3 linked regions of the Arabidopsis thaliana genome follow. The protein of the gene in region 2 purifies or fractionates together with the protein of the main gene of each other region. This does not show direct contact. Each region holds a gene or a part of one and is shown on either strand. Other genes may lie near its edges. The genes, in order: AT2G05920, RS41 and AT2G40650.

Region 1 (3,753 bases), on a different chromosome or scaffold from region 2:
AGCGGTTGGTTTAGAATCTGACTTAACATACTCCCTAAGTAAATCACCAGTCTTCTTCCCTACAGCGATCGCGGGAAGCAAATGACTATCCGCCACAAGCTCCTCTCCACTCGCAGCAGTATTCGCCATTATCATCCCTAAACCACCAGCATCTCTAACCACAGCTCCTTTCTCAACTCTAGCATTAACACCTCTATCACAAACAACAATCTTCCCACGAACAATACTCGAATCAAGCGAACCAGGTAAACAAAGATTACTCGAACTACTATTCCCTTTATTATAAACCAATTCAAGCGGCTTCGTCCCCATTCCTACACCGCTATACAGCGAAACACCGGTAAGTCGTTTCCCGTTACCGAGATTCGCAAAAGCCGGAAAATCTCTATCTAAAGTACCAGCACCAACAGTCATAACCCAAGGAGCAACATTGGCAACAGAAGCTCTAGTAGGACCACTATTACCAGCAGAACAAGACACAAAAACACCTCTCTCCATAGCCGAAAACGCTCCAATCGCAATCGTATCGCGATAATACGGAGCAGAACCACCACCAAGAGATAACGAAAGCACATCAACACCATCAAGTATAGCTCGATCCATAGCAGCTAGTATATCAGATCCAAAACAACCAGTACTCCAACAAACTTTATAAGTAGCAACACGAGCACGAGTGGCCATACCTCTGGCCGTACCGGCGGCGTAACCGAGGAAGCTAGCGTTTCTAACGGCGGATCCCGCGGCGGTAGTTGAAGTATGTGTTCCATGTCCGTCAACATCACGAGGAGAAACAGATTCACGCTTACTCGAAAAACCACCACCAGAAGCCATTTGAAATCCTTTGGAGAAGCTTCTAGCTCCGATAAGCTTCTTGTTACACAACTTGGAATCGAAATCGGAACCAGATTCACATTCTCCTTTCCATTTAGAAGGAATCTCAGGCATATCAGTATCATCGAAGCTTCTAGATTCAGGCCAAACGCCAGTATCTAAAACTCCGATGATAACGCCGTTAGAAGAAGAACCGAGATCGTGAACACCGAATTCGGAATTGAGACCGAGAAACTCAGGAGTACGCGTAGTGTGAAGTGTGTAGAGAGGATCTTCGAAGATATCGAGGATTGAGTTTGAGGAGGAGAGGAGAGAATCGGCTTCGGTGGAGTCGAGGTAAGCGGAGAAGCCATGGAAGGAGGTTGTGTAAGTGTAGAGAAGAGATGATTCTGAATTGAGTTGAGATGTGTACCAATCGTGGTGAGTGAGGAATGATTCCGGTTTATCGGAGTGATTGACGCGGATGATGTAGGTTTTTTTGGCGGTTGTGTGGAGGAGAAGGAAGAGGAAGGTGGTGATGATTGTGATGGAGGAAGAAGAAGAAGAAGAAGAAGCCATGAGTGTGTGTGAATGATGGTGAAGTAGAGAAGAAGAGAGTGTGGGGAATAAGAAGAAGAAGAAGAAGAAGATAGGGAGAGAGAGAGAAAGAGTGATGGGATTAAAATAATAATAAAAAAAAGTGGTGGACACGTAAGGGACGTGTGACCGTTAGAATAATAACGGAAATGCCATCGTCGGTGGGGTTTTGAAAAAGAGTGTGTGTGGGAAATATATATACAGCTGGAGACACGATACGTGATAAAAGGGTTGTTCTTCAGTCTCTCAGGCCCATTTTTCTTTTTATTGGTTTCCTCAAACGTTCTTTTGTGTCTTTTTCTTTCTTTTTTCAACGTTCTTTTTGTGTCTTTTTATTTTATTTTATTATATGTTTATAAACATATAGATTGTTTTTTTAATAATTGTGTTTGGGTGGATGATGTTGGGTTTAAGAATTTATAAAATTGTTGATGAGTTTGTTGAAAACTAAAGATCATTTAAGGGTAGCTAATAAAGTTGTTGGTCTGTTTTTTAGAATTAAGATCATTTAAAGGGTAACAACTAATAAATTAAGGGAAGAAAATAATTGGTTCCGAAAAGAATTTATCAGATCTATCTATATTTAAGTTTATTAGCAAAAGCATATGACTGACCGGAAAATAGGGAATATAGGTTATGAATTTGACTAAGAATAATATAATAACTATTTTGTGAGGTTTTTAAAGTAGTAAGATGTGTTATGTTGAGAAATATTTTTTTTGGATTTTGATTGAAAATTTAAGAGTAATCTATATATAGTAATTTCTTTTTTTTTCTATTTTAGAGTTATTGAAGCTAAATCGATTATATTTTCTTTAAAATAGAAATAAAAATAAATGTAGACATTGGATATTGTTTTTTGGATCTCTTCACAGCTTGGTATGGGAGAGTTTGTGTACTTAACTCAAGTTGAAAGACCCATAATGTTGAGTTTTTAGATCAGGTTTGCTAACTAAAACAAATTAGGTGAATTTTGTTGTCGGGATACCTGACGTAGTTATGCATACGAGTGTTTATATGTGTAACTAAAAACGTGCAATATATTCAATATATGTAGCAATGATGTCACACTAGTATGATGAAATTGAATAAGCTCTCAACATTTTTTTGCTTGTAACAATTCATGTATTTATTACTTAAAAATCGGTGGTCAAAAAATAACGTTATCTTTTTTAGTAACGTATCATTAAACAATGTGTAATTCACGTGTTATGTTAAAAGTCATTTTTATGACGATAAATTTACGTGCAACAGTTTTTTTGTCACTATATAGCTCTACTTTTTGAGTTTGAAGAATAAAAATAATAGTTTTAGTAATACTTGTTGAAAACATGAGATCTTAATTATTCATGGGAATAGAGAAGAACCTTGGCACTTAACAAGAGATTTTAATGACATCATTGATGCATCAGAAAAACAAGGAGGACAAATCATACATGAAGGTACTTTTGTGAACATTAGGTCATTCATGTCAGAATGTGACTTATACGATCTCAGACACTTGAGCAACTTCTTCTCTTGGAGAGGAAAGAGACATGAGCTCATTGTTCATTGCACACTATATAGGGCTATGTCAAATGGAACAAGGGCTAAGGCTTACCCATCCAGTCGTTGGGAGTATTTAAGGTTTGAAAGCTCAGACCGTCAACCACTTCTTACTCACTTTAATGTATTCGAGGAAAAGAAAAAAGGAGTTTTTAAGTACGATAAAAGATTGAAAGACAATGAGGAAGTCTCTATTTTAATTTAAGCAGCTTGGAACTTTGACGCCATGGAGGATGTTGAGGAAAATGTCAGTAGATTTATACAAGAAATCATTACCTGAACTAGGACTAAGCATCAAAATAGTCAAAAAGCCACTGAAGAGAATAGGCAAAAGCTAGAGGAGGCAATGGCAAGCCCAGACGCTGACCAAAATCTGATTTCTACCATCAATAATAGCCTACAAAGAAGTAGACAATTTTGGGAGATAAAAATGTTAGTGCACCCTCTGTCAGAACAATCAGAAGGAGTGTTGATTGCTGGAACAAGCTGGAAGCTGTTTCAGAAGACTAAAGTGAAGATCAAGTAATTGATGCTGACGTGGATATGCCGCCAAATGAACGAATGACGTGGAGACCACAACAGGAGGAGTTCAGTTTGGAAAGAAGATATTCACGCGAAGATTTGGAGTGATCCAAGATCTTGAAGGCTAACCTAGAAGACCGAAGACCTCGATGGTATAAATAGAGGTGCTAAAGTTCTTGTTAGACTTGGCCGTGATTGTGAGTGAAAAAGCTAGTGCAACGCTTTTCATTGTTAGAGACTAAGGTTTAGTCTGATTGGAATTCTAGAGAGATCAAAGAG
Region 2 (3,753 bases):
GTTTTGTGCATCGAAGTTGATCACAAACAGAGTCTTGGAAGGTCTCAAGCCAGAAGATGATCTCCTCGAACCACCTGATCTTCCAGCACCTCCACGGTCATTCTATACCCAGTATTAGAATTTGCATTCCATCACTAAATCCGTCCTGATAATAACTTTTAAAATGATATTCAAGATTCTACCTTTGTCCACTCAACACGGAGTCTGCGTCCTGTGCGACCATATTCAAAGCGATCAAGCGCTCGAATTGCATCTTCAGCATCCCTTTCATCTTCCATATAGACAAAAGCAAACCCTGGGGAGAGAACCAAAAGGGAAAGTCAGAACATGAGAACAATCTTATCAAGTAAACCAAGAAAAAGAACCTCCTCCAAGAGGAATTCTAATATGAAGACTCTCCCTTCCACGGCAGTATCAAAACAGCCTTTACTACTTACTGTGACAAATAAGTTTTGAACCTAAAATCTCTACAAACTATAAGTAGTTTTACAGACCTTGCATTATGGAATTAATATGTCAAAGAAGAAGAACTGAAAATGAGGAGGAGATGAGACGGAATTGTGAACAGAAACGTGGTGGCGCAAACTCCATTTGATTTGCTGCCTCTGCTGTGAGAGGTTGGTATAAGTCTACCAAAGAGGCATGTGCATCTCGAAGAGGAGAAAAGTCAAGAGGAATGAAATGCAACTAAAGTCGGGGTTATGGGAACGTAGTGCCATTGCGTGGATGAGGTTGACTCTTTTGGGCAGGAAATGGATTTTCCATATTGTCCATCAATGGGCTGTGTGGGAGAATGGGCATCCCAAGATCGAAACAAATCCTGCGCCAAAATCAAATGTTGAGTATGGCGGTTTTACCCTAAAATTACTCGATCTTTTCTCTTCTGAGGTATGCTATGAACTTCATGCGGGGTGCTTCAAGTTCCTTGGCAGATGTTGGAATCAGATGGTAGCGAACCGAGGGAATACGGAATGTGGGATGCAGAGGCTAGAGAGCACACTTTGAAAGGACAGTCCTCCAGAGAGTCTCATGGAATGAACGCACGTAAGTGGATTTTAAGAACAATGCATTTGACTGAATTTCGCTTGTTGTTCATCGGATTGGTAGTGGTTTACGAGACTTCTTTATCCATTTCAATTCAACCAAACAGAAAAACTAAGAGAAAGTATAAAGAAAAACAAGAACCAAGACTTACCAGCTTTCATATCAACCCTCTCAACCTTGCCGTACTTTCTGAAAAGCCGCTCAAGATCACTCTCACGAGCATCATACTCAAAGTTTCCGCAAAAGACAGGCTTCATGATTCCTACAAAATAGACAACAGAAACGATTTATAGCTCCTCTCAACAACCTAAGTATCAAAAGATATCCAAGAGATACTAAACAGAGCACAGATTTGACCAAAATATACAAATAAACACACTCCAGAAGAGAAGCAATAACAAAACATATAATTAAGATCATAGAACAATGAACATAACAGGAACCAAACCACAGAAAAATGTAATCATCTACACTTCCAAGTTTTCAACTTTATAACTGTAATAATCAAAATCCAATTCATCACAAATTAACAAACCAATGCAAATTTCATACTTCAAGATTTCAAATTTACAACTATATTCAAAATTCAATTCATCACAAGTCACAACCCATAACATACCACAACAGATTTTCATTAAAGTTTTCATATTTATACAAAGGAAGCCCAGAAAGTATGGATTTTTTCAAGCTATGATGAAAAAAACCTCAGATCTGGAAAAAAAAAATCAACCATATGAGAAAACAAAGCAAGAAGAAACTACAATTTCAACAGACCTAATGAAACAAGAAAAATTCAACGGAAGAAAATGAAAAAGCTATCGAATTTAAATCTGAAGAACAAGAGAAGAGAGAGACCAAAGAGAGAATCGAATTCAATATCTGAAGAACTCGATTTTGATTATACCTTAGAACAAGCAGTTGAAAAATCGTACCGGCCGTCGAGAGTCGAAACCCTAGAAACAAGCTTCTCTAGATTTTATTTGCTTTCTTCGAGGCTCTCTCTCCAGATAATGAATCTTAAACATATATTTATATTTATATATATATATATATATATATTAAAAAAAAAAATATTTTATTTTTATTTCGTTACCAACTAGAGAAGTACAAATAATTTTTTACCTAAACATTTTATGTTTACAATTGAAATTTCTGCAAAATATACATCAATTTCATATAAGACTTTGTAGTTGCCTCAACAAAATCTAGAGGAAGAAGAATCATATACATACATATTGTACTCATTTAGATTCTTTTTCCAGTTTCCTTTTTAAATATGCAACAACTTGTTTTTTTAGTTATATCATGAAAGGTTTTGATTCATCATCAGATACTGTTCATATAACTCCCATAGCAAGAACCCTATAATTGTGTCTCTTACGAAGCTCTTTAAAACCTTTTGAATCCAACCGTTCGATGTAGTACCAGTACCACCATTATATGAATCTCCTCTTCCCACCAAATCTCTAAACCGGAGATCCCCAGAGTCTGACACCAACGCGTAGATGACACCATTCATGTGTCCTTTCCCGATCACTCCCACCACTGTTTTACACCCATTCACTGCCTTACTTCTCTTCAATGACCAAGCAAGATACTGTCAAGGCAAAAAAACACATTATTTGGTCAAGTCTTATCAGCATACGGTTTTTTTGAGTGTCGCTTTGTTTCGGTTTTTATGCTTACGGTATCTCTTTCGTGTATAAGAGGCATTAGGAGTGCCGGGTATGAGAAACTTAGCCGTTCGTAAAGCTGCAAACTTCCACTGTTTTCATCGGTCTCTTGTTCCTGTTGCAATGCAAACACAAACCGAAAAGTTACAACTTATCTTATCATCTTCTTGAATTAAAGCGAAACCGAGTTAGCGAAAGAGAAACAAAACCTTAAGCTCCGCTGCGGATATACCCGATGACGATGTGATTACCCGAGTCACAGCCATCACCAGATTAAACTTCTCTCCCCATTTCAAAGAGTTCCAAGCCCTTTGGAGCTACAATGTTATAAGTTCAATGTAGATTCCATTGGTTTTAAACCCATATGTAACTACAAAAACGATCAGTTGGTACTTGGTATAGTCATTACAGTTATTTCGATGGGTCGATCTCCAAGAACCAGCTGCGCACCAACTTCCTCAGATGCTTTCCGAGCAGCACGAAACTGCAACAAATAGCAATCAAGAAGAGACTGAATGTCCAAAAACAAACACTAACTCTTGAGGTTTTCTCAAAAGTACCTCATCCCCGAAAGGGCGGTCAGCAACAGAAGATAACTTAGAAGAGAAAACCGCCAATAGAAGTCGCAATGCCAACGCAGTTTGCCCTCCTATGATCATCCCAAACACACACATTCATCAACGTTGAAGTACAAAAGCGAGCAATGGTAAATAAAAAGCTTTGATTAGTTTATATACCCAAGTCTAAACTCCGGCCAACAGCACCGAGAAAGCCAGTCCCGGTCAACGACAACTCTCCGGATTTTAAGTTTTGGTCAACCTCTCCTCCAACACTTGAAGTGTACATAATCCCAGCTCTGCAACATCAACACCAAGCTCTGCAATTTGTTACACAACACAATGGCTAATTCAATTTCATCAGTTGGCAATAAAGTCATCAAATTTCACGAAACCCGAATTTCGTTTGGATAAAGAATTGGACTTTCCTGCTACGACAGAGTTCAACGGCGACATTATCAGGCTTCACAGTACGGACG
Region 3 (3,753 bases), on a different chromosome or scaffold from region 2:
AAAGAAAACATTGATTGAGCTAAAAACTAGATGGGAAGTGCTCTCATGATTAACTGATCTTTTTCAAAGTAACACAATGACAACTACCATATACTGTATCAGGGTAAGGATTGTAATAATGTCTGATCCATAATACTTCTCTCTGAACACTGTCAGTACAGAGAAACCTGGAAGGATCTCTACAAATTTAATTTCGGAAGCTGTATCCAACCGCTGATGGCTTGAGATGCCATAGTGGAAACAGACACTCAAAAGACAGAGTACTAGACATGATGCAAGAGCATTAGCTAGATCAAACAGCTTCCACAATCACAAAGAATTTTTTTTTGAAAAATGTTAACTAGCATAGAAATGTATCTAGTAAAGGTCACGGATTCAGATACCTGTGTCTATGACTGTCGCGTCTCCTGTCTCTGTCTCTTTCTCTTTCTCTTTCAGGACTCTTACGGCGCTGATCCTGTAAAAGAGGAGGAAGATGGTATCATCTTAGAGCTGCTAGATAGAAACAGAAAACAGATCACATAAAAACTATTGCAGAATGAAAGCACTGACCATCTCATCTTCAGATCCATCAGCAATCCCTTCATTCTCCTCCTTTTCTTCCTCTTCTTCAAAGTCGTCTTCCAAAACACTTTTCCTTGGCTCTAATAAACCATTCTGTTCAAGCGTCCACCTATCATCAGAGTGAAAAATTAACCATCTTAAAATACTGCAGAAACCAAAAACTAATTATTCAGCTTCAGACAAATGCAAAAGAAGAAACCTTTTCTTCAAACGTGGCATTGCAATATCACAAGAATAATCCTTGGTTAGAAGTTCCTCAATGACTTCGTCCACATGTGTCAGCGAAAACTCTATTCCAAACCAAAGAAATAAATCTAGTTAGTGAACAAATCAATCAAAAGTTAAACACAACGGATCCATCGAAAGAAAATGAAACTTACTCCCATCAGATAACTTTTGTCTCACTTTCCGGTAGTCATTGTAGAGAGGTTCGAGGTAGCGATAGACATCAACATCAGTCCCAGTGAGACGCAGATAGAACGCACCAAGAATACGAACATATCTGCAGAAACCAAAAGAGTAAATATTTCAGTAATTCAAGAACAAATATCTGCAGAAACTAAGAGAGTAGATTATCTAAGACCAATAGATTTGAGAGACATTCCATACCTGTATACTTGAGAAACAACTACGACAAGGCTAATAGCAGTATCCAATCTAGATTACGCAGAAATAAGCTTTTGGTTAGAAATCTTACTTGTAGTCATCATTTTTTATGAACTCCACGACAATTTCCTTCTCAGGCTGGATTTGAAGCATCTTCAATATGAGGCAAAGGAACGGAGTAGGCTTGCGGCTACCACCAAAGGTACCACCTAGATGGTCGAGCTCCATAGCTTTGTCCACCAATGTCTCCGCCGTGAGACCAAAGCACTGCTCCTTCCAAAAGGTGTGCTGATAAATCTTCGTTCGCACAATCTTCTCTACCAGATTCTGCGGATTCGTTCCTCTTATATTCTTTGCCAACGGATCTGTTCTGTTTGCCATTATCGCCTGAAGTTAATCAGAAACTGCCTCAAAGGCCTAGTCGTCGGAATAATAAACGTCGAGCGACGCCGCTTCAGTGAAGCCGGAATCGATGAAACAGCTTCCACGAATTTGCCGTCGTCGAAGACGAAGACACTCTAGGTCTTTGAAGAATCTGAGAAGTTAATTCATTTATTTTATTTTATTAATGATTGCTTTCGGTGGTAAAGCCCATAGTAAGAACATATTAATGGGCTGCTAATATATCTAGGCCCATTATAGATGGAGATAACGCCGTTAGTTGGAAGTCCGTTAGGACCGTTAGTTACATCAAGCAAAAACCCTATCGAAGAAATTGCAGTGTGTTTTCTTACAGCGAAGAGCCCCAAAGAGAAGAACAAAATTTCGAAAATAGAGAAAGAGAAGAAGTTGACGATGGATTCAAAGGCGAAGCAGATGATTCTTTCAGCTCTCTGCAAACACTTCTCTTTGGATCCTGTAAGTATTGAAGAAGATGACATCTCAAAAGCTTCTGCTTTTTTGTGAGGTTTTGCTTGGTAGCTGAGTATGTGTATGATCATTTTTTGAATTAGTTAGTGGAGAAAACTCGAACATTATCTGATTGGGTACTGAAATCAATTAGAAAGTTTATGTTTTGGACTTATCAGTGTTTACGCTTATGCATCAAGCTGGTCATGAAAAAGGAAAAAACTTTAGAAATTGGCTTTTATGATTTTACATTGTGATGATTTATTGGTTCTGTTTCTGAAATTGATTTGATTCATTTGTTTAGGAACCTTTTGTGGGCGGAGCGGGTGAAAGTGATATCAAGACACTTTATTCTAATGTATTGAAGGCATCTGGAAAGGAAGTATCTGCACAAAACAACGATGTAAGTCGTTTCTTCTTGAATTTGGTTCCTATAGACATAAACGCCAAACTCTTACTGGGAATTTATTGAGTTCCCTTCTCGTTGCTACCACGTTAGAAAAAAAATGAATTAGTATGTTTGAGTTCTGTGTAATGCTAAATGATGAGGATTCGTTGGCTTTCGTTTGCATAATGCGTCATTGTTTCACATTTTAAAGAGTAAAAACCTATTTCAGGTTTTGAAGTGGCTAGATTTTGCGGAAGGTTTCTCTTCAGATTCAAAGGATTGGTTTTCAGCTCTTGAAAAGTTGAATTTAGAGTTAGCTACCAAGTCAGTGCTCTTGGGAAACGGATTGACGCCATCGGCAGCTGATGTTGCTGTGTTTTCAGCTCTGCATTCTTCAGTGGTACCACTTCTCTATATTCCGTAGTCTACTTATTTTTCGTTCCTGTATAAGTAATTTTATGTTACTTGATAAAGATGCTACGATCAAATTTTCATAAACTGATGACTAAAGGTATTAAATACTAACTGTTATCTGTTTGACTTGCTGTTCCCAGCTTGGCCTCTCAGATTCAGACAAGGAGAAAGTACCACATGTCATAAGATGGGTGAATTACATCCAGGTAAGTTCGACATCATAAAGTTTTGTTACTTGATTGCGCCGAGGTAGCCTGTAAATCCATGGAGGACTACTTTATGTGTACGCGTAACGGCGTTAGTGACTATAGCTAGATATGCACTCTCTGAACATCACCTTTCACATTTTTCTTTCCTTGTGATTGTCTGCTTTACGAATATATGCTGCGTATTATTTTACAGAATAAAGAAGAGTTGTCGACATTATTTGCACCAATACCTGTGAAGCTACCAGAATTTAGCTTCGAGGTGAATTATCTTTTCATACCCATTTTCTTAGACTGAGAAACAATAATAACATGCTACTTTTTTCAGATGTATTACATGCGATGAGAAAATGGTTTTCTGATCTTTTTCATTTATTCTAAACGTAGGTACCAAAACCTGCCATTAAGGTGGAAACAAATTCTAATTCAAAAAAAGCTGCAGAAGGTGTAAAGCCTGTTGACAAGCCAGATGTGCAGCCGCAGCTGGGCACAAAGAAAACTGAGCCAGAGGTACTTATTTTAACTTTTAAGTTTGATTTCAATGACTGTGAGTCTCTTTAATTAGTTGAATCTGGTGTTCTCCTCTGTCCTTTTTCGTGTAGGAACCAAAGAAAAATGCAGCAAAAGAGAAGGATGCCAAAAAGGAAAAGAAGAAGCCTGCTGAACCAGAACCAGCTAAGAAAGAGGCAGAGCTTAGTGTCAGTTTGCTTAACATTCAGGTTGGTC

The links.
Region 1: the proteins of RS41 (region 2) and AT2G05920 fractionate together in Arabidopsis thaliana (co-fractionation; one large-scale study listed by BioGRID). This does not show direct contact.
Region 3: the proteins of RS41 (region 2) and AT2G40650 fractionate together in Arabidopsis thaliana (co-fractionation; one large-scale study listed by BioGRID). This does not show direct contact.

Annotation. Positions count from the first base shown.
Region 1 is NC_003071.7:2,270,819-2,274,571, forward strand, and holds the start of AT2G05920 (Subtilase family protein), read right to left. Parts: upstream 1,635-3,753; 5' UTR 1,390-1,634; coding exon 1-1,389.
Region 2 is NC_003076.8:21,128,629-21,132,381, reverse strand, and holds the start of RS41 (RNA-binding (RRM/RBD/RNP motifs) family protein), read right to left. Parts: upstream 2,063-3,753; 5' UTR 1,949-2,062; intron 1,338-1,948; coding exon of another isoform or gene 1,302-1,337; coding exon 1,196-1,301; coding exon of another isoform or gene 1,108-1,195; exon of another isoform or gene 1,045-1,107; coding exon of another isoform or gene 933-1,044; exon of another isoform or gene 889-932; coding exon of another isoform or gene 682-888; exon of another isoform or gene 592-681; coding exon of another isoform or gene 567-591; exon of another isoform or gene 502-566; coding exon of another isoform or gene 495-501; exon of another isoform or gene 296-494; coding exon 183-295; intron 103-182; coding exon 1-102. Other genes in the region: AT5G52045 (uncharacterized protein), read left to right, coding at 682-888, 933-1,044, 1,108-1,337; AT5G52030 (TraB family protein), read right to left, coding at 2,348-2,641, 2,731-2,832, 2,927-3,034, 3,127-3,201, 3,278-3,366, 3,455-3,573, 3,670-3,753. UniProt on the Arabidopsis thaliana protein: Required for constitutive and alternative pre-mRNA splicing. Involved in primary miRNA processing and pri-miRNA biogenesis. Binds both intronless and intron-containing pri-miRNAs.
Region 3 is NC_003071.7:16,964,046-16,967,798, forward strand, and holds the start of AT2G40650 (PRP38 family protein), read right to left. Parts: upstream 1,754-3,753; 5' UTR 1,552-1,753; coding exon 1,262-1,551; intron 1,067-1,261; coding exon 945-1,066; intron 855-944; coding exon 764-854; intron 674-763; coding exon 553-673; intron 458-552; coding exon 384-457; intron 1-383. Other genes in the region: AT2G40660 (Nucleic acid-binding, OB-fold-like protein), read left to right, coding at 1,966-2,028, 2,324-2,422, 2,637-2,807, 2,962-3,027, 3,224-3,289, 3,415-3,537, 3,630-3,753. UniProt on the Arabidopsis thaliana protein: Probably required for the first pre-mRNA cleavage reaction catalyzed by the spliceosome.